Linked DNA regions of Pelodiscus sinensis. The protein of the gene in region 3 purifies or fractionates together with the protein of the main gene of each other region. This does not show direct contact. Links are inferred from orthologs where the notes say so. Each region holds a gene or a part of one and is shown on either strand. Other genes may lie near its edges.

The links.
Region 1: the proteins of SPAST (region 3) and NUP133 purify together in Homo sapiens (affinity purification with mass spectrometry; 3 studies listed by BioGRID and IntAct, counting the BioPlex papers as one, with this or other methods). This does not show direct contact. The link is inferred for Pelodiscus sinensis from reciprocal best matches to the Homo sapiens genes SPAST and NUP133.
Region 2: the proteins of SPAST (region 3) and NUP43 purify together in Homo sapiens (affinity purification with mass spectrometry; 3 studies listed by BioGRID and IntAct, counting the BioPlex papers as one, with this or other methods). This does not show direct contact. The link is inferred for Pelodiscus sinensis from reciprocal best matches to the Homo sapiens genes SPAST and NUP43.

Annotation. Positions count from the first base shown.
Region 1 is NC_134713.1:123,319,132-123,328,960, reverse strand, and holds the start of NUP133 (nuclear pore complex protein Nup133), read right to left. Parts: upstream 3,816-9,829; 5' UTR 3,741-3,815; coding exon 3,565-3,740; intron 1,734-3,564; coding exon 1,615-1,733; intron 1-1,614. UniProt on the Homo sapiens protein: Involved in poly(A)+ RNA transport. Involved in nephrogenesis.
Region 2 is NC_134713.1:106,457,778-106,467,837, forward strand, and holds the start of NUP43 (nucleoporin Nup43), read right to left. Parts: upstream 4,307-10,060; 5' UTR 4,199-4,306; coding exon 4,079-4,198; intron 3,176-4,078; coding exon 3,053-3,175; intron 2,793-3,052; coding exon 2,715-2,792; intron 1,697-2,714; coding exon 1,516-1,696; intron 1-1,515. Other genes in the region: PCMT1 (protein-L-isoaspartate(D-aspartate) O-methyltransferase), read left to right, coding at 9,744-9,975. UniProt on the Homo sapiens protein: Component of the Nup107-160 subcomplex of the nuclear pore complex (NPC). The Nup107-160 subcomplex is required for the assembly of a functional NPC.
Region 3 is NC_134713.1:134,312,921-134,323,178, reverse strand, and holds the start of SPAST (spastin), read right to left. Parts: upstream 4,228-10,258; 5' UTR 3,896-4,227; coding exon 3,478-3,895; intron 659-3,477; coding exon 572-658; intron 1-571. UniProt on the Homo sapiens protein: ATP-dependent microtubule severing protein that specifically recognizes and cuts microtubules that are polyglutamylated.

The DNA.
Region 1 (9,829 bases), about 11 Mb from region 3:
TGAATTTGACACACACAATTCTCTTTTAGACACCATATTAGGCATTTTTAATATTCTTCTAACCATCTAACCTGTAGGTGTCAATTTCAAAAATAAGACTCTCATTAACTTTGTCCATAAAGGATCCAGCTCCTTCATCTTTCCTAGATTCAGCTATTTATAATTGAAAAGTATTTTTTTAATGTTAGTTCAGTTTTGTTTCTGAAGGAAGACTTTTTCATACAGTTGTGCATTACAGTCTTGAAACAGACCCATTTTATCTCATTCTAATAATTTTCATTAGCATAATTCGCAAGTCTTGAATTTTACAAGCCACTTGTATTTGTTACTAGAAGATTTACCTGGCACTGCTCAGGTCCTTAACACACGTAATTTTTGTTTTTCCCTCACTTGAATCATTGCTCTGAGGTAGGGCTGGGAATGAAGGGTTCAGTGTGCAGGCTACCTCGGGGAGAGAGGACTAGCCCAAAGCCGCCTCTCACTGCAGCAGACTGGGGCCAGGTGAGAAGTGCCTCCCCATGGATGCTGCAGCTCCAGCGGGCATAGCAGAGGGAGAGATGCATGTCCCCCCCACCCCTGCTATGGCAGGTACGGGTTCATCTGCCCCATGCTACCAACCAGAGTGCAGAATGCAACAAACTGCGCATTTTCCTCTCTTGACAAAAGGGAACAGCCAGCAATGTTCCCATACGAAAAGGAGGGTGGGAGCTTCAACCCCCTCCCCAGTCCTGCCTAAAGGGCGTCTGGGGGTGAGGGGAAAGGCACACAACTGGGGCAGTCTTGGACGAGGTAACATATCCCTAGCTGGCCCCTTTCACCTGCCTTGTGATTCTCTCTTGTCTATATGGTTTTATGAGAAGCAATCCCATTCTGGGTACAGCCCGTGTCCCTGGAACAACCAAACCCTTACCTTGGTTTAAGATATGATAAGTGGAAGCTGCATACAAATTTGGACTAGTTCTTACCGTTTAGGAAGAATTCTTAAATAGAGAGACAGACTCATGCACAAACGCTCTCAAATATATCGTAGATTGTTTTGAAATTAAAGAATCTGGATCAATGGATACATTCCTATTACATATAAAAATACAGACCTGTGCAATGCACCTTTTCAGCACAATTGATATCAAACATGAAGTGCAAAACAAGGAAAAAGTAAGGATGGTTGTTCTTTTTTAACTTAAGACTTTGTAAATGACTGTTACCAGTGGCCTAAACATTTCTTTCTTAAGCTTACCTAAAACTGTGAGTGGCAATATTTAAACAACTGAATATATGGATCAGCAACCTTAATTTTGACTGTTTTTGTTGTGCTTGGTCTGTACAGTACTCTCCAAATATAATTAAATAGTTTTGCTTTTCACAAAAAGTCCAGTACTGAATTGATATCCAGATGACTGACATTTGAAAGAAAATAACTGAATTGTTCTGATCATGAACAATTACAGTCTTACGTGTTTTGAAGCTTATAAATGCTCTAGCAAGAGACTTCTTATATACAATTAAAAAGGTGTTCTCTTCTCCTCCTCCTTGCTCAAAAATATCTATTTAAAAGTATAAAGAGATTACCGTATTTCCTTTATCTGATCTAATTCCCATGTAATCATTCCTTACCTTCAGCCATTCTTAGGGCCTCCATAACCTTAACAGGGAGAGAGGATCCAAAAGTCTTAACGTCATAGTTGATAGTTTCACTGGCTGAAGGATGTTGTAATACTCTTGTGGGTGTTGCTCTAAAAAAAATATACACATAAACTGTGATTGATTTGTTTCCATTATGTCTCCTGCAATTTTAAGATATACTTATTTCATTTTCAATTATTTAAAAGATACTTGATTGAATGGCCAAGTTTGTGAAAAACAGGCACAAGTGCATATCTTTAGGAGCTAACATTCAAGTCACTAAAGGAGGTTTCCCTTCTTATATTAATTTGAATGGAATAATGGGCCAAAGGTGTTAACATAAACCAGTGACAATCCAACAATAAAATATTAAAAACAAAGTTTCGGGTTTGGCATACAGTGACTTCAGCCTGTTTAGTACCACAATATGCATCACAAAGTCTTTTCAACTTTTTATTAAAGACATAGAAAAGAAAGAAAAGAGTTAAAACATTTGAAATGTACAGGCAGTCCCCGGGTTACGTACAAGATAGGGACTGCAGGTTTGTTCTTAAGTTGAATTTGTATGTAAGTCGGAACTGGTATATATAGTAGGGGAAACTCTAGCGAAACATTTCTCCAGAGCTCAGTTTTATTCTCCCACACCTCACTTCCCTCAGTCCTTTATTCTCAAGCTGAGGTGTCTGCTGAGAAAAGCCGCTCCGCGTCTCCCTGGTCTGCTGGGGGGGCGGGGGGGGGGGGTGCTAGCTTCGCGTCTCCCTGGTCTACTGGGGGGAAGCTGCTAGTGTGGGGTTGCCTCACCCCGTTTGTAAGTAGGGATCCGATGTAAGTCGGATCCATGTAACCCGGGGACTGCCTGTAATGCATTCAACAAGATTTTCATTTCAACGTTATTTGTTCCCTTTCTCTTTAGCTGGAAAAAGTTTTAGAAGACAAAAATCCTTTGTTTGTGAGCCTTTTAGATAATAATAAAGATAGTATTATCTGTCCTGTTGGGTAAGAGAGCAGTTGACCAATGCCAGGTGCAGCTATTACTGCTATTAGAAGTTTAAAACTAATTTTGGGAAAAAGAAAAGAAGTTTGTTGATACGGGCTGGAACTAGGGATGTGAATGGTTAACCCCGACACCCTGTATTGCTGCTGCCTCTGTATCAGAGGCAGGGATGTGAGGTGGCAGGTAGAGTTGGTCTAAAAATTGGCTCCCCACGCAGACCAGTTCCCACCTGCAGCCTGCTGACTCGGATACAGAGTAAAGATGTTAAATATCAGTTAACTGAATAGCCAATTAACCGAATGAATTCTTATTGATTACTTGACTATTCTATAGCTCCCGGGGGTAAGGCCAACAGCCAGGGTGCTCCAGCCCCTCTCCCAGGGAGCCGCCTGCCACTCTGTGCTGCTGCCTCTGTAGCATAGGCAGCAGTGCTGGGTGCCAGGCGGGAGCTAGTCCACAAGGGAAGCCAGTTTAATAAACAGCTCCCCTCATGGACCAGATGCCTGCTGCCCCATGCTGCTGTCTCTGATACAGAGGCAGCAGCTCAGCGTGGCAGCAGCCCGTCGGGAACAGGGGGGTCTGAGCTCACGGATGCGGCACAAGACAGAACCGAGCCAGGCTGCCCGCCTGGCTCCTAATGCACTTTAAAGGCAGAGCCGCAGCAGGGGAACCAGCGCGTGCTGGGCTGCTGGCCAGGCTGCTAAACAGTTTACTGGGGGGGGAGGGGGGGTCGTGTGGGGGGGAGGGGGGGTCGTGTGGTCTGTAGCACTAACCTGAAAGCTTTTGCTTACGGGTTAATCGATAACACTGATCCATCCCCAACAGCCGGGGGAGGGGTGACTCCGCGGAGCCGGGGGGGGGCGGTTTTTAAGTGCCCCCCGCATCAGTTTCCGCTTTACCCCCCCCCCCGCGCGGTGTGGGGCGCTAAGGCCCCGCGGGGCACTCACCGCGCCGAGAGGGAGCCGCTCCGCCTCCCCGCCGGGGAGAAGAGCCCCGGGGAAGCGGCCGCCGGCACCAGGCTCTTCCTGCCGCCCGGCCGGGGGATGGAGACGGCGGCGGGCCCGAGGGTCCTGCGGGCCGATCCGCCCGGGGTGCGCGGGGAGCCGGGGGCGGCAGGGAACATGGTGGGCGGCGGGGGGGGGGGGGCGAGGAAGCGGCGCGAACCCAGCAGCGCCTGAACGATCAACCGCCGAGGCCTCGCGCGCGCGCCGCTGACGTACAGGAGCTGCACGCTCCGCTCCGGGCGTCGCAGCTGCCTACGTCACACTCCCGGCCCCGAGACAGGGCGGGGTCAGCTGGGACGCAGGCGCGCGCCTCCTGCTCTAGGGAGGAAGGCGGGGGCCCGGAACGGCGGGGTGGCTCGCGCTGCAGGATCCAGCCCCTGAGCGGAGCGGGGCAGGGGGCGGCTGGCACAGCCTGGCTTCTGCACCACGCGGGCCAGTGGCGGTGACTGCAGCGCGGGGGGAGCCCACGTGACATGTCGGGGAGCGGAACTCTGGCTGGGGCAGCCCCAGCCGCCCTCTCCTGCTGCACAGCCCTCGGCGCCGGGGGCCGTCTCAGCAGAAAGGAGCGGGCTGGGCGGCGTTGGAGTGTGTCCGCTCACACGAGCTCAGTCCATCAGCGTCTTACTCTGGGGCTTGGCTTAAACTTTGGTGTTAGGCAGGGCAGCTTTAGGGGCAGGTGCTGGGCGGGGGCTTTTTTTCTTTTCTTAACAGCAAAAGGGAGACTAGGATGTCGGAAGTATCATGTTTCAGGTATTCCCTCCCTGGATTCATTTCTCACTGACCGCTAAGAGCGTTTTGGACCTTTTGTAGAAAATCGTGGAACCTTGCAGACTTTCTGAGAACTATGTGGACAGAACCTCTGGTGCACCTTTGTCATCATACATGATCATGCATCAAACTTATGGAATAAGCTACCAAGCCAATAAAACATAAGTTATTCAAAAGTTTAACAAATGAAGGTGGGGGGCTGAAGACACTCCTTGCGTGGAGCATCATTTGGGCTAGGACCTGCCCTGGTGTCAGGCCATCCCCCTTTCATTCCCAGTGAAAAGAAAAAAAAAACAGAGATTTCCCTACCCCCCCAACTCCCTGAATTTCCCCATCATTCATCCAGTGGTCAACTGGTAACATGCAGGGCTCCCCATTTAGTTTGTTGGAAATTTACTTAAAATTGAAAGAAGGCACATACAGCTGTGTTTTATGCCAGTTTCAGTGGATTCCTTTCAGTGATGTTGGCCAACCTAATAATTGCAAAATACGATTTGTAAATAAGGTGGGAATGAGCTTTCCCCTGACAGCCAGTAATGAGCAGGGACGCATGAGGGAAAGGCTTCCAGATCAGACTTTGTTGACATAAACATACCTACTCTGCCTAGGTATCCAGCAGACAGACCTGTGTTGCCCAAGTGATCAATCTTGGCTATAAATCACTTGAATGTGGGATAGTGATAGAAATGTAGCCGTGTTAGTCTGCGGTAGCTGAAGCAAAATGCAGGACAATGTAGCACTTTAAAGACTAACAAGATGGTTTATTAGATGATGAGCTTTCGTGGGCCAGACCCACTTCCTCAGATCAAATAGTGGAAGAATAGTGGTGACTATTTTCTTCCACTATTTGATCTGAGGAAGTGGGTCTGGCCCACGAAAGCTCATCATCTAATAAACCATCTTGTTAGTCTTTAAAGTGCTACATTGTCCTGCATTTTGCTTGAATGTGGGAGTAATTAAATGTTATTCTTATTTGAGTAACGGGCAGCGAAACTGTTCTTAGTTTGTCCTGACCAAGGGGATCACCCACAGTGCTTAATTAGTGCCAGTGTTTGCCAAAGCTATGCCCTAGCACATTATGGGCTAAGTAATGCCTAAAAAGAGAAGAGCCTATGGAGCCTAATCAGTTCTATCTTTAAAAAGAAAGAGGCAGGTCAAACAGAGCCTGAGATTCTTAGGCAGAGCTGACACTTTTAAATTTTCTTTTTGTTCTCAAATTCAGGACTTTGTCCCTCAGAAGATTGCAAAGAGTTAACAGTCTTTCTCTCAGAGACTTTTTTTGGAAAGCTCATCTTTCAAAGCTTAACCTAATAAGAAAAAGGAGCACACACTGATGTTACTACAACTATCGGTTTATTTACTGGAGGCGGGAGGTAGGAAGAGTAGGGTAGGAAGGAAGGGAGGATTAAAGATACTGAACAACTACAGTACACAAACACACACTCATACAGGTGAAAGAGAGATCTGATGCATTGTTTTTACCTTTTCCAGATGCCAAAGGTCTGACCGGACCAATGGACCACAAGCACAAATATGATGTTGATGAAGGACTCAGGTAAGTACCCTATCTATATACCCACCCTGATTGTATGTCTGTCCTATCTAACTTGGATGAATTCTGTGTATGGGAGTGCGCTCCTTCTCAAAATAGCAAAACCCCAACAATGCAAAAATGTTATTCCAAAACTATGAAAGCTAAGCTGTCATTCAGGCTAATGACCAGTGTCCTAATACAGAAGCTCTCCACTGAACACCCTTCTCTGTCTCCATTCATTGGGAGCTGCAGGCTGTCATGCTTTCAGATACTCAAGGACACAGTTCTGGTGAGTAGGCTTGTTTCAAAAGTTTTGGACTTGGTATGCTCCAAAGATACTCAGAAATGGGGCTTGTGCAAGTCATGTTTGCTTTTTGGATATGAAGCTTAACAGAACTCCAATTTTAAAACACAGGCATATTTAATACAACTTTTAACCACTGAGCCACTTAACTTTCAAAATATATTGCACCTGGTGCAAACGCTGTTTTCACTGTCCTGTAGGACTGCAGTGATAGAATATGAAGTTCTTATAAGGAACTTAATCAAAATAAGCACGTACATATGTCTACCGGAAAACACACTCCAGGACTTGATACAGCAAACACAAAACTAAACCTGCTATTTTTTTTCCGGGTCTGGAGCACCCACGAAGTTAGAGCCTGTGTTCAACACTAACTGTTGTGACCAAGAGGCACAAAAGATGAATTCCTACTTCCTTCATCCAGGAAACATACCACAAAGATTGTGTCAAATCCTTAGTTATGATGAAGAAATTGAATCAATCCTTCATTCATTCATCATTTGATATTTCATTCTGTGTTCAAATTCTCTATTCTGTCCTTATCACATAGCAAATCCATTGCTGGTAGTGCCTCACTCCATTCGACTGTTTGTTTTATAAGACAGGCATCTATAAAAGCTACATAGAGGTTGAGTAGAATCCAGAAATTGCAGTTGTAGATCTGTAAGAATCAAATCCATTTATTTGTGCAGCTGCCTTAACAAACACTTCTTGTCCTCTTAATCAATAGAAGTGCCTTAATTAATCAACTTGTGAACGGAAGTCTTTGCTTTTTCCAGTACATTTTCAATCAGTTATACTGTCATCCAAATGTAGCTTTTACTGCTGGGCAAAGATCTACTATTGTGCTTTGTGCGCTCCCTCTGCATCCAATCAAAGCACTGCTACAGTTCAGTCAGCACATCCTGCAAATTCTAGGTACATACGGGCAGTTAACCAAAATGTTCTCCCAAAATAGTGTAGTTTTGCTATGACTATCTTGCGGCCTACTGGGACCACTCATGCAGCCCACTTACTAGCCCAGGTCACCTATTGCTGAACAAATCTAACCAAGGCTGCCAACAGTTGGAAGAAGCAAGACTGAGGGATTACTGACTAAGGGGATGGTTGTGCAGAACAGGCAATTGCCTGGTGCATCCATGACTGAGAAAAACCTAGGAAGGAGGCTGACTAAAGAGGCTTGGGAAAGTAAACAGAAAACCCTGCCTCTTGTGTCTTCCTTGGGGAAATAGGCCTTTGTATGTTCCTTGTAAATAAATGGGGGGGCGGGGGACAAATCAAATAAAAGTACCTATCCCTCACTCCCACGTAACTAGGGTAACCTGCAACACATCAAATTTGACCTGAGTGGCTAGGCAAATCATTCTGAAGAAGTGGGTTGTGCCCACAAAATCTCATGATACCATCTACGTGTTTTGTTAGTCTTTAAGGTGCTACTAGACTACTTGTTTTTTAAGTTTTTCCTGTTACAGACTAACTCAGCTACCCCTCTGGAGCTTAATGGCATAAATAGTCCCTCATCCAATCCAGTATTGCATCTCTAATCGTGGCATTTATCAGATCTGCCACAGGAATGATCCACCTTTTCTTACATGGGCTCCATATATGATTTTCCCCAAACTAATCCTCCCCCAAAACACCCAAGTCCTTTAGATAATTCCCAGGATGCATCAAAATAGTTGCTTTGGAAATCAGTGTAATGGTTTATAAGGCATACATAGCAGCAGCAGACAACGGTAACTAAATACACTAATTTCAGTGAAAATTACAAATAACTAAATCAGTTCATTGCAGTGAAAATTAGGCACCCATGACTACTTGCTAAGAAAGCCTCCGAAGATACAAGCTACTGTTTCAGAGGGAGGCAAACTAATAATCCAGTGAAACACGCCATACTTCTAAAATACCCTTTACTGAGGGCATGTTATTTATTTTTGGCCTGATGATAACTGTTGCACAACAATGTGCTGTTTTACTCACCCTTCATCTTGATGACATTAGAAATAAGGAAAGCGAAGTTATAGAAAAAATGGATATGCAGTACATATTAGGACATTTAACTTTTCCATTCAAAGCAGACATTTAACTACACTACTTTGTATGAAGAATACAGATTTGGGGAAAGTACACTCACAACATCTACCCTAGGGAGAGTAAAATTGAATTGTCTGGGGATTTTTAACAATCTGTTACTCAGTTAACGAGAGAAAATTAAAGGGTTTTAAAGGCATTTTTTCATATCACTTTTTAAAATGTATACCTTGCTAACAGCTGGTTTGCATCAGTCACACTTTTCACAAAATCATTGCTAGTATTCTTCAAACATACCTTCAAAGAAATTAGGTTGCAAATCAGCAAAGCTATTGTTTTTTCTCCCATCTTTTCCATTATATTAATAATTCTCCCACATTAGAAAAATCTGCTACTACTTATAGTGTTTAAAAACGTAATAGGATTGAAGCTACCCAGTAGGATTAAAATTGATTTGGAGAGATGAAGAGATCATTTAAGCTGCATCTCCATGGGTAGATACTTATAACAACAGACCCCAAGCATCTGTGAAGAACCACGTGGATAACCTCAAAACAGGCTACCCCACCAAACATGACCACAAGCTTGGAACTAAGTCACTTGGTTGATGCCGAGCAGCCACCAGGGTGCAGCACGAAGGGGAAACCAGAGGCCCCTATTTTTATGATGATGTCATTGACAGGCTCCCCAGCATCAGGAACATACACATCATATGCTCAAATAGGGAGGGCAGAGATGGACCCTGCTAATTCCACATCCATATCCAAGTAGCACCTTTCAACCCCACTGCACACAATAGCACTTCTTCATACTCCACATGCCATGGGGAAATTCAGGATGCTCCCTGACCTTCTCACCCCCATTCCACCGTCTTCCAAAACCTTCATATGCTCTCAGAATTAAACAAATGATGAAACAGAGCAGCTTTCATAGAGTTAAATGTGCTGCAATATTTGCTTCTACGCCATTAAGCTTCCAAAACCAAGTTGCATTCTTATGTTCGTTGCTTTGGTTGGATTACACACTGCATCTTATATTTGAGCCGTGGCACACTGAGAGGTATGGCACCTGGCCAATTGTACAGCATGAAGGTATAGCATATAAGGAATTGCTTATTCACCCTCACAAGGGGATTAGCTTCTTGTTTTAAGGGATAAGTTTAACGGTTCTTGAGCCAGATTCCCAATAAGGGACATATTTACACAAGTTGTGGATCTGGCCCACTGGCTATTAATAGGCTTACTTTTGCTTCAAAACAGACAAATCTTCCTTAGCATAATTTGAAGCCAATAGAGCTCTGCTGATTTATAGTAATCGAGAATCCAGTTCTTGAGAGAAACAGCACTTACTGTTCATATGCCAATTTAAAAAAAAATAGGACTAAGCTAAGTATCAGAGGGGTAGCCGTGTTAGTCTGGATTTGCAAAAGCGACAAGGAGTCCTGTGGCACCTTATAGTCTAACAGATGTATTAGAGCAGTGGTCCCCAACCATTTGAGGTTGCCGGGCGCCGGGGGCGTGGCCGTTCTCCCGCTGGACACCAGAGGGTGGGGACACTTGCAAGCACAGGGT
Region 2 (10,060 bases), about 28 Mb from region 3:
AATTAACTTATAATAGCAGTTAGCTCAGTTGCCCAATTACAGTTTTAATAAGCTCAACTTCTAGTCCATATTATTTAGTGAAATTTCAAAGCGAAATACACATTGAAGGCCTTTTTCTATAAAGAACCCCATCTTGAGACCATTCCAAAATATCCTCTCACTTCCCCACATCCACATCTCCTTTGTCCATACCAAAGAAGCATATGATGCTGGTTCACAGAGTGTCACTTAAGACAAGTTTCACAGACTAGCTCATACGCACAAATTTCCTTTAAAGAAAATCCTTCCTAGCACATCTTTTCTTTTTAACACATATTCTGTCCCTTCATTAAAAAGGCCAGGGAAATATTTTTTTTAAGATCCCCTGTTGTGCAGTAGATTTTAATACAAATATTGTCACACTAGGGGATGCTCCCTGCTTACTCAGCTCACCAACTCCTTGCTCTCTGGTCATGAAAACCCCGCTTGCTATGCTCGCCAATCCCCCACTTTCATGGCCAGAGAGCCTGATGACATCATCCTGTCATGTGGCAGGAAAAGCTTTTGTTTTTGTTTTTTGAGAGAGAGCGAGAGAGAGAGAGAGAGAGAGAGAGTATAGCACTCTGACTGCTTAGCATATGTTGAACATATCAGCTAAACAGAAAATCCTCCACCCTCCCCCGATTAGGAATGGAATGGTAAATAATCCTATATTGCAGCTGCTTTTTAACAGTAAGATTATTAAGTAGGCAGAATGTGCACGGAATTTATATGCACCAATATGGACATGTTGTGTCACACATCATTTCTGTATTGGAGAACACAAAATGCATTCCGTACACGGACCATAAAACATTAGAAGGAACATTGCCTGAGAAGTAAAGAAAAGTTACCTAACCTCTTCCTACACACATGTATCTGAAAATCTGTTAGATATTTAAGTGAGGGACTGATCCAGTATTATTATTACAGAAAAATTAGAGAAAAAATATTTTTCAGTTTACTTCATATATTTCACCTCTTATGAGGATTGTTTCTTCTGTACAAATAAGGGTGTCCCACAAACAGAGAAAACCGCAGAACCACAAAAAAATTGCAAGAGAACTGAAGGACCAATGTAATACCAGAAGCTAACAAAACAAAATTACAAAAATTGGAATTTGTCCAGAACAAAGAAAAACCATCTCTGAAAGAAGAATGGGTTCATACTGACCACTTATGGTCAAGATCTTGATAATTATGTTTCAAAAGGAAATATTTTTAAATATATTTTAAAGAACTGACAAATAATGCAAGACTGCAGAAGCTGGGAAAAAAGCATGCGTGCAGGTAGTTCTAAGCCTGAATTTTTTGCATTGATTAAATGCAGTGTAAAATAGCAAATATTCTAGATCCAGTGTATTGCTCATTACAGATTCTATTGAGACATTCAGAACAATTCTGAAGTTACTAGCTATTTCTTTTTTTGTTGGTCATTTTGTGAGTACAGATAAATTCTTTAGACCCCATTTGTTAAAAAGTGGTTATTAGCCTTACCTATAGTTCTCACAGCCTCCTTGTGGTCAGCTCTGAAAAGATTTATTCGACCATCTTCTCCAACAGTGACAATTTCTGGATTGTTGCAGATGACCCCTGTACATGAAGCTCCACCACAGAAAGGGATATCCGGATCCACATGATAATGAGCCCTCTCCCATCGTTGATTAATAGATAAAGTCTAAGCAGTAAATAAAGAGACTGTATCAACAGTGCTAATTAACAATCCTGCAACAGCGTTAGAAACCAAAGCTTTTGAAATATGTAAAGAAGTTAGATCAGAAACTAGTTCTGAAATAAACAAAGCACACTGCATTATTTCAAGAGTCATTCACATCATTACAGATCAGAGGATAGCTTTCCTTTTTAATCACCAATGCATAGAGTCCTGTGCAGATAGACATTTCTATCAGCAGATGTGAATATCCATGGACAGACACAGTGATCTTTCAGTGCTCTATTCTTAAGAGTCAGTGTGACCAATAGACAGGAACATTATCTCACAGTGTTAAAAAGGGGTAACTGGGTAATTGTGTAACTGTTGATACAGAGCCATCAGTGTGGAGTGACAGCTAGCTCCCCGGGAGCAAGGCAGGAGTCTGCGTGTAATCATTAATGGTAATCGATAGTCCAGGCCTATCAGTTAACCATGTAAACAATTATACAGTTACATCCCTATATCAGACTATTCTACACATTTTTTAAAAAATAACCTAATTCCTGATTTACTGAATTTAGAACTTATTGAGTTTAGAGATATTAAATGTTGATTAATCAACTAATCAAGTAGCTGATGGAGTTCCCATCAACTGCTCAATTAGTCGATAACAGGGGGCACTTGCAATCCCGCTGCGCCTCTCCCTTTAAATGTAGAAGAGCCGCAAGTGGCTCTTGTACATTTCAGAGAGGCATGCAACAGTAGGGATGCCTCTGCCTCCCCTGCTACTCCGTGGAGACAGTGCTGGGGCCATCTGGCTTTAGGAGGGGGGAGAAGCAACTAGTCGAGTGACTACTTGACTATCTGATAAGCTTATGTATATCGGGTAGTTGACTAGTCACTTATATCCCTAATTGAGTTCAGCTGCGTTATGTTTTGATAGTTCTGAAAAGTCATGCATTTGAGAGCCCCAAAAAAACTTGTACTAGAAGCAACAGTAACTGAAACCAAGAGAAAGTTATGTCCACAACAAATTATTTACCTGATTATTTTGATGGTGACGGAAAATTGTTACACTTCCTGTTGATGAAGCAACTACAATTCTCTCCTGGTCAAAAAACTAAAGAGAAATATCTTAAGCTTGTTACACAGTTTGAGCACATTATCACAGAAGCATTACTATGTGAATCTGTGAGTCTTACTGGTTGCTAGATAATTTCAGAATGTACATATAAATTTCCAAACATAATTTTTTTGTATTTAGACAATATCCCCCTAGCAGACATTAGTTGATTCTCAATATTCTGATATCCTACTGATACATTTTCTAACAAAGTGAAAGGAAAAAAAAAAAACAGCTACTGGATATAACTATTTTACCTGCATGTCCATAACATCACCATGGTGTCTGATATCGCACAGCAACTGTGGTTCTCCTTGATACTCCCCACTGGTGCCCACATTTCCAAAGTCTCCAACAGACCAAATTGAGATCTTGTTTTCCTGTATGACAAGAGTAGTGAAACAAGCTTATTTTAAGACACACTTGCCATAAAAGTCAGTTGAGACAAGATGGCAGAGGTAGAATGTTGTGCTACAAAAATATTGTCAGAAAGAAAAGCTGGTCCAATAAAATATATTACTTCATTCATGTCTAATAGCCTGAGACCAACAAAGCTACAGCTACAATAGAAACAATAAGTCAACTCAATTTTCTCTCTTCCTAAAGAGACTAACAAACTATTACATTTTGATAGAGATAGATTAAATATACAAGAAAATTAATATTCCATATTTGGTGTGTATTTACACAGCATATTAATCTCGAAAAATGCTAAGCATTAATAAAATCTACATCACCAAATGCAGCCAGTTCCAAGGAGGAGAGAGCCAGTCCACACCACACACGGAAGAGGAGGAAATTTTGGTCATTAAGCCAGGCAAACGAAACACACACAGAGACTGTGCAGCAAGGAGCTTCAGCCTTCACGATGAGAAACTAGGAGCTTAGCTGTTAAGATCTCACACAATTAGCTACATAGCGCTCAGCTTATTTAACTGAGAAAGCTGAAAGCCCGTGTACCACCGGTAGGATATGAAAATACAGAAAACCACGCCAACCCCGTGGCAGGGAGGAGGGAGGCGGCTCCGGGCACCGCTCAGAGAAGAGGGGTCCGGGGCACCGCTGCAACACGAGGCGCAGCAAGGGGCAAACGCGGCCTCGCCCGGCACCCCCCGCTGATGACACTTGTTACAAACGCGCCGCCCCCCACAAACGCTGAGCAGCGGCCCACCCGGGAGCCCCTGGCAGCGCGGAGCGAGACGCGCTCTAATAACGGCTCGAGCCCACGGGCAGGGGCGCGACAGCAGCGCGGGGGCGGATTTAGAGGCTCCACGGGCCGGTACCTCGTTGTCCCAGGAGCCGGTAGCGAAGAGCTCGGGGGGCTGCAGGGCGGCAGCGGGCACCGGCCGCCAGCGCGTCTTACTGATCTTCTGGGACACGAATTTGGCGGAAAAATCCTCCATGCTGGCGGCGGCAACGAAAGGGACAAGCGCCACCGAGAAGCACAAACTTCGTCCGCAGCCCCGATAGGCTCCCGCTGCCGTCACCCCGCCTCTTCCGCCCAAGCTCTCCCCGATTGGCTGAAGCCTCCCGGCAGACGGCAAGAGAGGAGGTACAAATCTCTGTGGCAGCAACTACGCTCAGAGGTGGGCGGGACATGACGGGAGTAAATGGAACCTTGCCTGGGGCGGGGACTGCACTGTACGCCTGCCTGTTTCCTAGGCCAGCTTCGTGCTCATAGGTCATTTTGCATTTAACCCATATGGTTCCTCCAAACCCTAAGGCTGTGTCTACAGTGGCATGATCTTGCACCAAAGCACACACTTTTGCATAAATACATGCTGCCTGTCCACACTGGTGGGGAGTTCTTGTGCTAGAACACTGAGTTCTAATGTGTGAACTCAGTGCTTCTTGTGCAAGAACTATGATGCTCTTGCTCAGGAATAAGCCCTCTTGTGCAACTGTTCTTGCGCAAGAGGCCCGTGTAGACAGGCAACATGAATTTCTTGCGCAAGAAAGCCCTATGGTTAAAATGGCCATCAGAGCTTTCTTGAACAAGAGAGCGTCTACGCTGGCACGGATGCTTTTGCGCAAAAGCACATCTCTTGCGCAAAGGCACATGCCAGTGTAGACGCTCTCTTGCACAAATGCTTTTAACGCAAGAACTCTTGCATTAAAGAGTATTTCTGCAAGATCATGCCAATGTAGACACAGCCTAACAGAGCTTCACAAAAATCTCAAACAGGATCCTGCTGACCACATTTACGGTGTAGCATGCCAACTCTGGACCTGCAGATTAGCCATTAATACCACAGGTGAAAGTGGACTAGTACCGTATACTACTAAGAAAGTAACCACCTGTTGGGATTTGTACTTAGCTGACATTGATGCTTTTAGGTCTATTACTGACATAGTAGGGAGGGGGGAGATGAGATGGTGGGAGCAAAAAAAAGCAACTACCCTAGAGCCCAAGCAAAATACAGGACTATGTAGCACTTTAAAGACTAACAAGATGGTCTTTAAAGTGCTACATAGTCCTGTATTTTGCTTCAGCTACACCAGACTAATATGGCTACATTTCTATTACTACCCTAGAGCCCAGAAATTTAAAAGGGCCAGGTGTCCTTTGAGGATGAGAATTGAGAGGTCAGAAATAGAGCGATCACTGAAGTGTTCAACCAGAGGTGATAAGGCATTTTTGTATTTTATCATTTTCCTGTGTGAGTTTGAGAGCATAATGTTTGTATGTTTTGAGTCACATAGTTCATTCACTGGATGAGGTATATCGTATGTTGTAATAGGCATATGTAGGATCCCTATATCTTGAAAGATGTGTTGTGTGGAAAGTTGATCACTGTAGTAGTAGAGATATGTGTCTAGGTTTTGCAGCTGTAATTCTGGCAGGCTCTGGTGCCACTTTGAGCTGATATTTACAAAAACAATGAGAAATCCTGTGGCACTTTAAAGACAAACAGATTTATTTGGGCATAAGCTTTTATGGGCAAAAACACTCTGCCCAAATAAATCTGTTAATCTTTAAGATGCCACCGGACTTCTTATTGATTTTAAGTTGGTGTGTCCTAGTGTAGGGGGAGCTTATTTTTTATGATGATCTCAGAAAGGTTGGGAAGTTGTTTGAAGGCCAGGAGTGGAAGTTCTGGAAATATAGCTTTTAGGATGGAGGTCCCCCATTGAGTATGGGTTGTAATTGTCTGAAGATACCAGGTATGGGTTCCAAGGTGAGGTGGTAGGTATTGGTCACTGTAGCAGTGGAGATATGTCAACAACATGTACTCCCCTCTTTTTGTCCTATAACTGCAGAGCAGTTAACAGGCCACTCTGCCTTGAATTATACTTTATTTTGTGACACTGACAGACCAGTCAGTCTGTTTACGACCCGTAAGAACTTAACAGAAGACACTAGTGTCAAATAGATGTATTCGACTAGCAATAATCAATTCATTTATTTATAGTAACAGAAATCAAAGGTAGGGCATTCATCTGTATTTACATGTATATCTTGTCAGAAGTTTAACAATATAAACAAATTAGCTTGTAGATACTATTTTGCAAGCTAGCAGTTCATTCCATCACTGCTCTGATCCTGAATGATGAACTTTGGAAGTCACTTGTCTGTATATTGATCTTCTAATCACTTGTATTTCTCTTCTTTCTTTTTCCTTTAATGATTAAATCTATTTTTAGAACCTTTAGTTTGGTGCAGCTGCACCACTGTTAGGTCTGTAGCATATCCATAGCCCTGACTCATAGCTCAGTCTAATGTTAATTTGGTATTTCCTAATTTTGCAGTTAATTTAATGTAGATTTTTGTAGGCCATTTAAAAGCAGAAATCCTATGTTGCCCTAGGGTTGGATGGAGTTTTAAACTATACTCCCTAATGTTATCTAAATTAAATATCTTAAAGGAATGAGTTGATATGTTGCTAGATGCAATCACTCTCATAGCCCCCACATTTCCACTCCACAGTTCACCGTTGTCACTTTCCCAGTTCCCAATTTAGGGAGTCTGTTGTCATTTTGGGGGCGAATTTAACTGCTTGGAACAAGGGCTATAAGCCTTAATTAAATGTCAAACCAGTATAAATTCTCAGACAAAAAGTACGTTAAGATGCAGTAAAGGCTGGGAACATGCATTGGTAACTTAAGAGAAGAAAAAAAATTAGAAGACCTGTAATAATCACAAAAACAAGCATTATAAACTCTTGAAATTCAGAGAAACCCAAACATGTTAAAATACAAAAATGCAATGTAGGCACCCAACCAACCTTTACTCGGCCCTGTAATGACAGCATGCAATAATCATATAGTTATGATGGTATTTGAATGTCTGATGTCCCAGACGAGATTAAATTAACTTCTGTTGAAACCTTAATTTGTTTTCTTTTACATATTTTCCCCCTTGTGGTATCACTACAAAACAGCCTTAAAGTTCTTTTCTGAAAATTTCCTTAGTTTTTTTTAATCATATATAAACACTAAACTTTCTATTGACAAGTAATACTGGTTACTCTAATACATAATTTACAATTGAATTACAATGAAAAATGTGTTATCTGGCACTATGCTAACTGGAAAACTTTAACTGCCCCCAGCAACAATACCACTTCAGGCACGTGCACCTGACTCCTGCCTGTCCAGCCAGCCGTTGCAGGGCTTCTGACAACCTGCGCTGCCAACTGACATCATCAGCAGGTGCCTCCTTCCCTCTCAGCCTGCCTCAAGCTGTCAGGAGCTAGATGTGTCAGTGGGGCAGGGTGATACATTTTGTTATCCGGCATATTCACACTGGCAACCCGCATTCTCCACATGTGCTGGATAACAAAGCTTTCACTGTACTTGCTTAGAGGTCTGTGTTAGTGACATCTATGTTATGTAAAGGGAGAGCCTATTCCTTGAGGCCCATTGTATGTGTGTGCACTTTAAGATGTCCCGAATGCACCTGCCTCAGTTGTTGTGCAGACAAGATAGCAATGCCATGTGAAGTCTTTCAAGTACTGATATCTAAGCTAGCATGCAGCCATAGAATCTTTAAAGGTCAGTGACAAGTGGACCAAGTAGTCTAGCAATGAGATACAGGCAGTCCCCGACTTACGTCGGATCCGCAGTTACGAACGAGGCTGCCCCGAGTACACGGACTGCGGGACCTTGCGGTCCTGCCGCCCGTGTACTCTGGGGCTTTCTCTGCGTCTCCCTGGTCTGCAGACCAGGAAGACGCAGAGCAAAGCCGCGGAGGGGCTCGGGCAGCGGGGCAGCCCAGGCACGCCTGGGATGCCCTGCTGGCCGAGCCCCCCCGCCCCGCGGCTATGCAAAGCCTCGGGGAAGCTGGCAGCGGACTTGGGGACGCTTGCGGTTCTTAAGTTGATTCTGTATGTAAGTCAGAACTGGCAGTCAGTTTCAGCAGCGGCTGAATCTGGACGCCAGTTCCGACTTACATACAGATTCAACTTAAGAACAAACCTACAGTCCCTATCTTGTACGTAACCGGGGACTGCCTGTACTCTGTCATGTATTTAACTGTCCTCAAAACACTGACTCATTACAATCAATAGAATGACACAGATTAGCTGTACAGCAAGGGTGGGCAATAATTTTTGATGGGGAGGCCACTTCAAAATTTTAGTAAGTAATCAAGGGTTGCACTTTTCTATAGAGGGGGTGCGGTTCTGGGATGGAAATTGAGTGCAGAAGGAAACTTGGGGCAGGAGACTGGGATGTAAAAGGTCTGGGGTCTGAGAGGGAATTTGGGAGGAGGGGGTTGTGACCTGGGGCAAGGGATTGGGGTGCAGGATCTGGGAGGGGGTATGGATGCAGGTCAGGTTTCTGGCTAGGGAAGGGCGTAGGAGAGGGTGCAGGTTCTGGGAAGGAATTGTAACCTGGGGTGAGAGACAGGAGGGTGTAGAGCATTTGGTGACCTGGTGCAGGATTCTGGCCTGAAGGACAAGTGTAGGAAAGGGTGCAGAATCCGGGAGGGAATTGGAACGTGGATGGAGGTGGGGTGCCTATGCAGCTCCCAGCCAGCAGCACTTTCAGGCAGGGATACAGCCCCTGACCACTCAAAGCTCCATGTGGCTCTATGCGCTGCAGAGGGAAGCTTCATGTGCTGCCCCCCAGCAAATCAGTTTCCAGCCAATCGGAGCAGAGAAATGTTGCTGGAGGCAGAGGCAACATGAGAAGCCTCCTTCTCCCTTTCCTACTCCTGCAGTGCAGAGAGCCAGAGGGAGCAATCAGCTGCATTGAGCAGAGGTGTTCCGTATCACGGGGTGGGCCACAGGCCACATTAAAAGGTTTTGTGGTTTTATCCAGCCTGCAGGCCATATCTTGCCAGTTCCTGCTATATAATCATAGTAATTACACAGCAATCAATAATGTCCCAAGGTACACATTTGCCCCCTAGGCATGGTACATATAATACTGACCTACAAGCATATATAACTTTTGCATTCTTGGACTCCACCGAGACTTAGTTTTATCCGGTTTTTTCAAGGACACTGCAGAAAATGATCATGTTTGTCACTCATCTACTGCCAGGATGGAAGTCACAGAAAAAGCTGTAAACTCCACCTTCGCTGTCACAGTCCATTTAATAACTATGGGCCAGCCCCAGAACCACAGCACTTCTGCACATTCTGGAGGAGCCTGGCATTAGGTTCAAACTTCACATCTCTGCCCTTGCCTGTATAACAGATTGGCCTGAACAAAGCCCCAAATGTCAAACACTCCAGTCTTTGCTGGAGTGAAGAGTGGGGTTGTACCCGCTGCTCCCCCCTAACCCCGACTGCCTGTCCCAGCCTCTCCCTATGCAGGCCTCACACATCCTCCCGTGCAGTGAATACGTGAGCAGCAGCTAAAATCACGAGGCAGCGAGAACGCTGCGACACCTCCTCCCGACGCCCCCCTCAGCGAAGCTATTCAACCCCCTCCCCATGGCGTTCCCTTGCCCTTCTACGGGTGCGCATGCGCAGAGCAAGCGGGTGGCGGCCGTTGAGAATGTCGGGCGCGCGGGGCGGTGGGCGCGCGGCCCCTCCCCCTGGCGGGCGCGCGGCTGGAGGAGAGGAGGCGGCGCCTGGGTCGGCGCTAGAGGTTGTGTCGTTCCTAGGCAAGCTCTTGTGCGCAGTCGCGGCGCTGAAGGCGGCTCTGTACCTGCTCCGCAGAGTGTGTCTGGCCATGGCCTGGAAGTCGGGAGGCTCCAGCCACTCCGAGCTCATCCACAACTTACGCAGTGAGTCTGCGGCTGGCCAGGCGAGGGAGGGGCCGCGGCGTGTACAGCTCGAACCCCCCTCCTCGGCCGTTACCGGCCCCAAGCA
Region 3 (10,258 bases):
AACATATCAATTTAAAGCCAGAGTAGCAGGCTTTTTATACATTATATGCTTATCATAATATGGAGAAAGTAAATGGAGGTAAGTAGTTATCTGGAGAGAATGTCTGCTGCATTAAAAACATTCTGCATGTGCTTCTCCACAATACTCTACAAACCAACCACTTACCTGAAGAATGAAATATGGTGCGTAACTCTCCCACTTTCCTGGCCACATCTAGACTTGCTGGAAGACCAACACTGCGGCGGTGGATCTTCTGCTGTTCGATTTAGTGGGTCTAGTAAAGACCCGCTAAATCAAAAGCTGAAAGCACCACTATCGACTGCAGTGCTCCTCGCTGTTGCGAGGAATAAGAGAAGTCAACAAGAGCATGTCTACTGTCAATCTCTCAGTGTAGGAATGGCACCAAAGTCTGTCTTAAGATAGGTCAACTCCAACTACATTATTTACTTGGCTGGAATTGCATATCTTAAGCCAACCTTTCCCTGCAGTATAGGCCTGGGGTGAAAAAAAATGCCAGGAAGTGATAGTCATAAAAAAGGTATAACTTTACACATACACAAAATCAGCTTACCTTGACCAATAACCAAGACAGCTATTCCTTTCTCCAGTTCTTCAATTCCCTTCTTATACCATTCAACAGCTTGTTCCTTTTGCCCTGCTTAAAATGGAAATGGGCCACTTACTTTCTGTAGTAGATTATAATGAAAAGGAATTTTTCTGCAAGATATGCAAAACAAGTGCTATGCACAATTACACAGGTGAGTAAAATTACACAATTGGGCAAATATTGCTTCATAAACATTTCTAAATAGACTTCACAGCTGATCAATGTCAAACACACACACACAAAACCAAAAAGAACCCCACCACCACTGAGTTCATAATTTTGTGTGATACCTGCTACAAGTCTGAATCACTTTTGCTTGTTTCCATACATTTTCTCCCTAACATCTTTCCTAATCTTCCATTTACATACAGCAGTGGTTCAAAAATTTTGGCCCATGGCCAAACCTGCTCAACGCAAACCTTTCCATGGACCACCAGCCAACCACCCACAATGATGAAATGGGTGCAGGAGTGGGTGTGACCACAAGGTAGGGGAAAGAGGAATGTAAATGAAGCTGATCAAACATTCAAATGAAGCGCGGATTTACAAGTCTCCCAAGTTATTGCTGCAGAGCTAACCAAGTCTGACCCTTTCATAATATACTAAACTTACAGTCTGTATACAGTCTCTATTTTGATTTTAAAGAAGAAAACAATTTTTACTTCCTGCTGCTATGCAGATTCATAGTTTCATTAAGTCTTCACACTTTAAAATCATGCTGAATGTTTCCATGAAAATGTAAAGCCCATCAAAGTACCCATGACTCTCCTCCTTGAACACTGCCAAGACTGTACTGCTGCAAGTAGACGGATACTGAAGTCAGTGATTTTCAACCTGAGGCCCATCAACACAGAGCTGTGCAGCCCATGTGACATCTTCAGGGACTTACAGGTAGCAATGAATGCATCCCAGAGTGGTAAAGAGGTTGAGAACCACTGTTGTCAGTCAAATACACTGGCAACAGCTTTTGTTTGTTCTCATTTTTAAATCTCAAACAAAATTTTCCTCAACTTCTTATTTTATTCTGAATTAGTTGTTTCAGAGTTGTTTAAGTATCTAAGCAAAAGTAAAATAATTATAAGACTTAATTTTAGAGGAAAATACAATGTTATGAGTTTAATTGCTAAATATTGTCTTATATACATATAAGACAGAATACATATCACACAAATAATTTACAAAATAAGAGTATGCTATAAATCTTATGCTAGACCCCAAAATAAATCACTGTTCCTTATTATTCATGCCTAAATAATTAATGATGCAACAACTTAGTTCTGAATATGAACATGAGTTTCCCCTCCTTAATCAAGGTCTATGAATTAAATTCAAAATAAACAATTTTCAGAAGACAATTTCAAAGACTTATTTTTTTGGGGAAAAAACACCTTGTATTTGTGCACATCTTTTAGAAACTAGATAACCTTACTGCATCCTTCAACTGTTGTAGTGCTAACACTGAAAACAAAAAAATGTGTGAAGAAGAGGCATAAAGTGGAGTGAAGGCTAAAATTGTGTATACTAAAGCTATCCCTTCACACCTAAACATGAGGTTCAATCTCCTATCAAGCACTGAATTTAAATGTAGTTTTGCCACATCTATTTTACATAGCTATGACGTATCACTATCTTTAAAAAATAATTAAATTAGACCTTTCGCTACACACCTAGGCTGAAATCCTAGTACCACTGGTCAAGACTTCATGTTTAAGCTTTAACTCTAATACGTTTTGTAACGTGCCTAGTGTGGCATTTGCATCCGTGAGGTCCTGGAGGGATGGGTGTTCATACCCTTCCCCCAAGTCCAGCTCCTGTTCCATCCACTGCCCTCCCATTACAGCCCTTCCCTCAAGCCGCTTCCTGCAAGGGATGTAGCCTTGAGGGGCCTAGCAAGAAGCAGGATGTAACCTGGGGGCCCTAGCAAGAAGAGGCAGCAAGGATCATTGACCCCACCTTCCCCCCCCCCACACACACACACACATTCACTCACCACCATGGTAAGAGCTGTAGGTAAGTGGAGTGATGCAGCAGCCGCTTCTCTGCTCCAATGCCATCTCTTAGGCCAGCCCAGTCCCGCAGCTTCACCGTGGTGGCAGGAAGCAGAGTGCCCTAGCCAAGGGAGGGCTGGCTTGGGAGATGGCAGCAGAGTGGAGCAGGCTGCTGCACAGCTTTGCTTCCCTATGGTTCCTGCTGTTGGGGTGAGTATGGGCATGCTCAGCCCCTGCTGCCAGCCACAGCCAGCCCACAGCCCCACAGGCTAACCTGAGTGTGGGTGACCACACTACCCATAGGACAGTTGCCGGGGAGGGAGGGAACCACTGCAGGGTGCCCCAAAGCTTAGAGCAACCGTTTTGAACTGTCCTATGAGCAGGACAGCTCCGCACATAGGTCAGAGCTGGCAGCCAGAATCAGCTCTAGTCCCACTATGCCTGTTGGTGTGGGGGCGGGGAACATGTGGCAGATGGGGCTGGGAGATGCATGGGGGTGAAAACATGGACACTTCCACCCACCCCAAGAGCTTTGCCAAAGGGGGCGGGGGTGCCTGCTGGCTCACTAGTAGGATCTGAGGACTGGCACTGATCCTAAAGAAAATTAAGGGTGACCTAAACCCTGAGCCCATCTGAGCCATCAGCTGTCAGCAGCACCTTCTCTAGGCAGAGGCGCCTCACGGATGCTAAACTAATGTGCAACACAGACAGGGCACAGCTGGGACCAAGGATGAGGGGGCGCATAACACCCGGATATAGGGCTAGGACCTTCCTCCCCCCCCCCCATTCAAGGGAATCGCCACCAGTAACGGCCCCCCCCCCCCCCCCCGATCCACTCAGGCCTCGCTCCCCACCCGCCCTGGCTCCCGCTCGCGCCCCCACCTCTCTCGTCCTCGTCGATGCGCAGCGCCACGGAGATGCACTCGAAGGCCCGCTTGTGACAGGCTCGCACGGTCTCGGGCGCCCCGCCGGGCTCGGGCGCGTCGCCGGCCCCGGCCCTGCCCTTGGCGGCCATGAGGGCGCCCCGGGAGAGGCGCTCGCAGAGCCAGGCGAAGAGCAGCCCGAGCTGGAAGGCGACGAAGCGCAGCAGCGCGAAGGCAGCGAAGAGCGGGTAGGAGAAGTAATAGAGGTTCCGCTTATGGGGAGACGCCGCGGCCGCCCCCGCCGCCGCCTGCTGCTGCTGCTGCTGCAGGGGGGGAGCCGGCCCGGCCGGGGAGGAAGGGGAGACCCCGGGAGCCTGCGGCGGGGAGCTGGAGCCGGCTGAGCCCTTCTTCTTCCCTCTGCCGCCCGGAGAATTCATTCACCGCCGTCGCCATAACCCGCTGCCAGCCACTGACAACAACCGGCCATGGCGGCGGCTACGCCCCTTTTAGCCAGCCCCGGCGAGCCGGGCCGCGGGGAGAGTGCGCAGAGGCCCTTTCTGAATACGGGGAAGCGCAGCCACCGCCCCTAGCGGGCGGTTATTGTTGACATGCCGTCGCGAGAGGCAGGCAGCCAAGGCGACAATGGGAGGTGTGGTTAGCGCACCGGCTGGGTGCGGAGACTCCATCTCCCAAAATGCAGCAAGTCTCTGGCCGCATGGCATGCCGGGTATTGTAGTCCGGCTTGGCCTTTTGGCGAAAACGCTCAGGGAATCCGCTGGGAGGGCGCATTGCATGTTGGGACATGTAGTCTTCTCTGACCGCACTGTATACCCGGAGCTGTTGCAGTGCCAAGCCGGACCGTTGTTGCTGGGAAAGGAGGGACATCCTGCCCTGGGGCCCGCTCGGATTTGTAGTGCGCACGCGCACGTCAGGAGCCGCGCCCCTAGCCAGCTGTCGCTGCGGAGCCTGTCATTTCGCACTGATGAGACCGGGAGTCTGCAGAAAATGGGTCATCTGGTCTGGTGCCTGCATTGGATGATGGGGGTGAGGGGGCAGTACAAAAGGGGTTTGGCAACAGGGAATACGTGCGGCCGATGTTCCTGAGATAGAAGATCAGGTCCCTGGCTGTGATCATTTTTCTCACGCCCATATACAGACCCTTTATGTCGCAAATAAAGGACAACTTGGAAATTATGGGAGAAGGTTTGTCTTGAAGGGCACCTGCCCCGTGTTTTATTTGTGACACCAGGGCCGGATTAACGGGGAGGGGGGTGCTAGCTGGGCAGCTGCCCGGGGTGCCAACCTATCAGGTGCCGCATGCCCGGGACCAGGTGCCACGCGGCACCCCTTACAGCTGCAATCGGGCGCTGCGTGCCTGCTGCCCGGGACGCAGGAATGGCTCGAGCTGGCCCTGTGTGACACATACCGATATACAAATAACACATTGTATTACAGTGTACAGTCCTTTTGCATGATTATTGGTGTATATGAGCCAATAATTATAGATATATGTAATAATAGGGAATATTCAGTACAAAATGAAGGACAGGTGGACATTCTACCTGTGACCTAACACATTCCTCTCAACGTACTTTGGGACAAATCGGGATACAGTACGGGGGAAAACTTGAAATGAAGAACACTAGAAAATGTATTGGTTAGCAGGATGATAAAATAAGGAGAGGTCAGTTTCTACTGAATTACATTTTATGCAACCTCATCTTAATGTTAAAGTGCTATAATGAATTCATAAAATAACAGCAATACAGCTTTATAGTAGTGTGCTCATCTTTAAGTGCACCAAAGGCCCAATCCAACTTCAAATGATGTAAAAAACAATGCAATGTGACCAAGAGCAGGCCTTCAGAGTCCAGTTCTCCAAAGACTTACTAAACAGAATAGCCTTTGCAGTAACAAAGGCACTCAGGTTCAGTAACAAAGGCACTCAGGTTCAGGTCTTAAGTTCCTTACAGGCTGAGGCTAAGTCTACACTACAAAGTTTTTGCGCAAAAACAGTTGTTTTTGTGCAAAAACCTGCAGAGCGTCCACACTTCAAATGAACTCTTGCGCTATTAAATGGGCAGTTAAATGGCAGAACAAAGGGCTTTTTCCACTGTAGGTAAACCTCTTTTTCTGAGGCATAACTGCTTTTAACGCTACAGCTATTGTGCAAGAAGGCAAGTGTGGATGCTCCAGAGGGAAAAAGCACAGGTGCTCTGATATCCATTCTGTGAACCAAAGGCCCAAGCCAACTATGAATGGCCATCAGAGCTTTCTTGTGCAAGAGCATCCATTCAGTGTGAACGCTCTCTTTCGATGTACTTTTGCGATGTGCGTTGAGGTGTGGACGTGCTCTTGCGCAAAAAGGTTTTGTGCAAAAACTCTTGTGCAAAAGGCTTCTTGCGCAAGAAGCATGAAGTGTAGATGTAGCCTGAGAGGGGTTTTTTGGGGGGGAGGGGCAAAGGCAGGGATGTTTCAAAGCTACTGAAATGTAATAGACTGAGATAATTTGAAATTAACCAAGTGGAAACATGATAAATAACGTATTTAAAATTAGGAGCAGTTGGAATCTTGCTAATTGAACTCTTTGTGACCCATAAAAGCAATCAACATATAATACAGACAAATCATATCTCATTACATTAAAATCATGTTTATATTATTTCAATTAGCAGGCTGCACAGAACTGCTACTTTTTTCTGAAAATCACATAATTAGAGATGTATGATATCTTGTAGATTATCTGGTCTATCCTCCTGCCATTGTAGGATTGCTCTCTAGACTATATTCTCAAGTGCTTGTCTAATCAAATTTTATTTGACTGAAATCCTGGAGCATCTTACACTTCTTTTGGAAGATATTACACAATTCCTCCCTGTCAACGTTAAAAATAAAACGTATGATATCACCCCTTAAGGAGTGTGTGTAGGAGATTAACCAGGATTATTTTCAGATTTTTTTTTATGTTCCTTGCTCTGGAGTGACAAAAATCATAGTCATTTAAAAAATGTATTATATCAGAAACTATGAAGAGATTTTAAATTTGGTCAATTTCCTCCACCCACACCCTGCTTCATGTTTTTAGAGGGGGACAACTGGGTTCTTTGCTATACTATAAGTAGGGCTATACTTTTAAGCCGGCTCCCTCCAGCACTGGCTCCTGCTGCCCCCGTTGCTGTCTCTAATAAAGGCTGCGGGGGGGAGGAGGGGGGGGAGGAAGGAAGCAACTAGTTGACTAGTCGCTTACATCCCTACTTGTTACAACAGTGTGTTGGCTCTCTTGTCTTAATTAAATAAGTAAAAGAGAAGAAAAGTAGTTATAAAAAAATTTGTAGTGACATCAAAAATATATCTGGCTAGTGGCTTAGGCCTACATGCTGCAGCTGGATCCATGCAACTGTATCTTGCACCTGCATGTAGACTGTTGACTTCAACGGGATTCAGCCTATGCACATCATAGCCTTATCTTGAAAATATGAATTTATGAGGTTTGATATAACCTGATCATTTCAAAATCGTGCCACTTTAATCAACATAATATTTCTAAGATCTGGACTGTTCAACCTTTGCTGCTTGAGAAGGCTGTTGTTCAAACACTCATAATCTCGCATCTGAACCTGACTAGATGCTTAGTGCTTGCCTTTTTTTTTCAGAATACTGAGACTTGAATACTTCATATGTTCAAAGCACAACTGCCTTGAATGTCAGTTGCTCTGGTGATAGTTCGCACATCTGACCCCAGTGTTTCAAGCTGGACACCCAGAAAATAAATCCAGAAAGAACCCTACTAAGAATCCCCTCAACTGGGGAACTGGGTGGGTTGCTGGCTACCAGGCAGCTGATATTTTTTCCAAGTACTGTAACTCTAAGAAGAGAGGGGGGAAGTCGCTTAAAAATAACTCTGGCAAACTAATTTTGGCTCTAATACCACAATCATAGCTTCAGTGGGATTTATGCAGAATTCATAGCAAGATTGGGGAGGGAAAATATCATCTGTTTTTTTGCTAATTAACCAATTCCACCAATTATTTCACAAAAGAATACAGACCACATATTTTAAAACTGGCAAAATAATATTCAATTAAATAGATTGAAATAACAGCAAGAGAAGTGCTTACTCCAGTATCAAGTGTTTGTACCTAAAGGGCAGTATCACCATCAAATTTGAATTAGTAACATGGAGTTCTTTGTGCCTTGACTATTACAGATTTCTTTCTGCTTTAGCCTTATATGGTTCTCTGCTGGTGTTTTTGAGGGTGATACTTGCCATGATTGCAATGCCTTTTATTAATGATAATATAGCAAACCGAGGGAGGGGAAAAAACCAGCTGTTAGAACCCTGATCCCTGGGATGAGTTTGTGCTGCTAAAAGATAGACAAGACATCATTTTACCTGCCCACATTGAGATAGTGTCTGACCTAGACCTGGAGTTGCATGAAAGTCACTAATACGAAACCATACCCTTACAATATGTGGGATTGTCATGCTGTAACCTCTTTCTGGGAGGTGAATTCACATGAAAGCAGCTCTGAAAGCTGAGTCTCCACTGACCGAGGACAACAATGTGGAGGTATAGTGGGGGGTGGGGGGGAGAAGTTAAAGGATCGTTTCTTTATTGGACTGTGTTTCAGTGAGTTTGCTCCATAATGCTAGATTTGTGACTGGAAGAATTTATAAAAATAAATACTTCCTAGTAGGCCAAGAATTTTAAAATGCATTATTTGCCATGGCTATTATCTCACAGTGTTGCTATCTTGAGAGGTCATTATCTCGTGAAGTTTCTGTACTAAACACGTATATTATTATAATTATTTTTACATAAGAATGACTATACTGGGTCAGACCAATAGTCCATCCAGACTAGTATATTGTCTTGTAACAGTGGCCTAGACCAGGTGTCCAAGAGGGAAAAGGGAATGAACAGAGCAGCAATGCTCAAGTCATTCATCCGGTCCCAGCTTCGGACAGATGCTGGAGATACTCAGAGCATGGTGTTGCATCCCTGGCTAATAGTCCTTTTTTAACCCTGTTATAGTTTTCGCCTTCACAGCATCCCCTGGCAAAGAGTTCCACAGGTTGATTGTATATTGTCTGAAGAAAGACTTCCTTTTGTTTTTTTTTAAACCTGAGGCTTATTAATATAATTATATGACCCCCTAATTCTTGTCTTATGTTAAGGATTAAATAACACTTTTTTATTCACTTTCTTCTTCATACCAGTCAATGTTTTATAGACCTCTATTATATACCCTTAGTTGTCCTTTTTTCCCAGCTGAAAAGTCCCAGTCATTTTAATGTTTTGAACACCCAATCATTTTAGTAGCCCTTATCTATATCTTTTACCAGGCTGCACACAATATTCAAGAAGTGTGCATACTAAGGATTTATATAGCAGCTTTTTGATATTTTCTGTTCTATCCCTTTCTTAATGGTACTTAACATCCCATTAGCTTTGACTGCTGCTGCACATTGAGTGGATATTTTCAGAGAACTATCTACAACAGTGGTCTCCATCCTTTTTATGCACGAGATCACTTTTTGAATTTAAGTGCAATCCAAGATCTACCTCATATATAAATACCCTTGTCCCTTCTCCAAGGCCCCGCCCCTGCTACCTCCAACCTCCCTCTCTTGCCCATCCTCACTCACTTTGATGAGGCTGGGGCAGAGGGTTAGGGTGCAGGCTCTGGTCTTGGATTAACGGGACTGGAGAGTGAGAGGGGTTCTGAGCTGCTCTTGGGGCAGGCAGTTGGGATACAGGGGTGGTTGGGGCTAGGGCAAGGACTTGGGGTCCATGGGGGGGTCATGACGGGGGTAGGGTTTCAGGATGTGGGCTCCAGCTGGGCACTGCATACCACAGGTGGCTCCTGGGTGGTGGTGCAGTGTGGCTAAGGCAGAGTCACACCTGCCCTGACCCTGCACCACTCCCAAAAGCAGCCAGCAAACTCCATTCCAAGTCCTGTTGTATCTCTCTTTGTGAAGAAAGGATACAGAATGGGAGGGGGCATCTTGATAACAGCACCCCTTCTTTCCCTACCCAGAAAGCAGGAGACTCGGGGGGGGGGGCAGGTCCAAGACAAAGGGCAGGAGATGAGTAGCAGTGGAGGGAGTGCAGCTGAAGTGCTGGCATTTGATAGCCTCTTGGCCAAACCAGTCAAGATCACCTGACAGAGTCTGGTGACCACTGATCTACAATGACACCAACATCTTATTGAGTAATAACAACGGTTAGACCCAACAATTTCCAGGTGTAGTTGAAATTGTATTTTCCAGTGGGCACTACTTTGCATTTATCACACAGCCCCACCCTTCACCGGGTCTGACACCCCCCCTTTCCTCCCGCACCCGTAAGTTTAATTCCTAGGGAAATCATTGACACAATTGCTATACTGCGCCTCTTTGACTCCAGAGCAGCGGCGCAGAATCACGCGCCACGCCCCTGCAGAACCATGCGCTGCCCGACCCCATGCTAGACGGGCCGCGGCTGCAACAAGACCAAGCCAGCAGACCTCAATGGGCGGGGCTATAGCCACTGACGTATCTGATGATGCTCGGGGGCCAGCAGCCCCTGACTTTTTCCTTGCCCGGCCGAAAAGGGGCGCGGCTTTTCGTCGCGCAGGCGCAGTTGGGTGGCGGCCGTCGCGCCGCTTCCTTCACTTACGGCAAAACAATTTACGATCCCTCCCTCTCTCCCGGCCGCGCTGTTGCTAGGGGCTGACGCTGTGGAGAGGCTGCTGTAGCCTCACAACGATTCCTGCTCGCCGTGGCCCCGCGCTGGGAGTCGCTGCAGCCTCCCGCC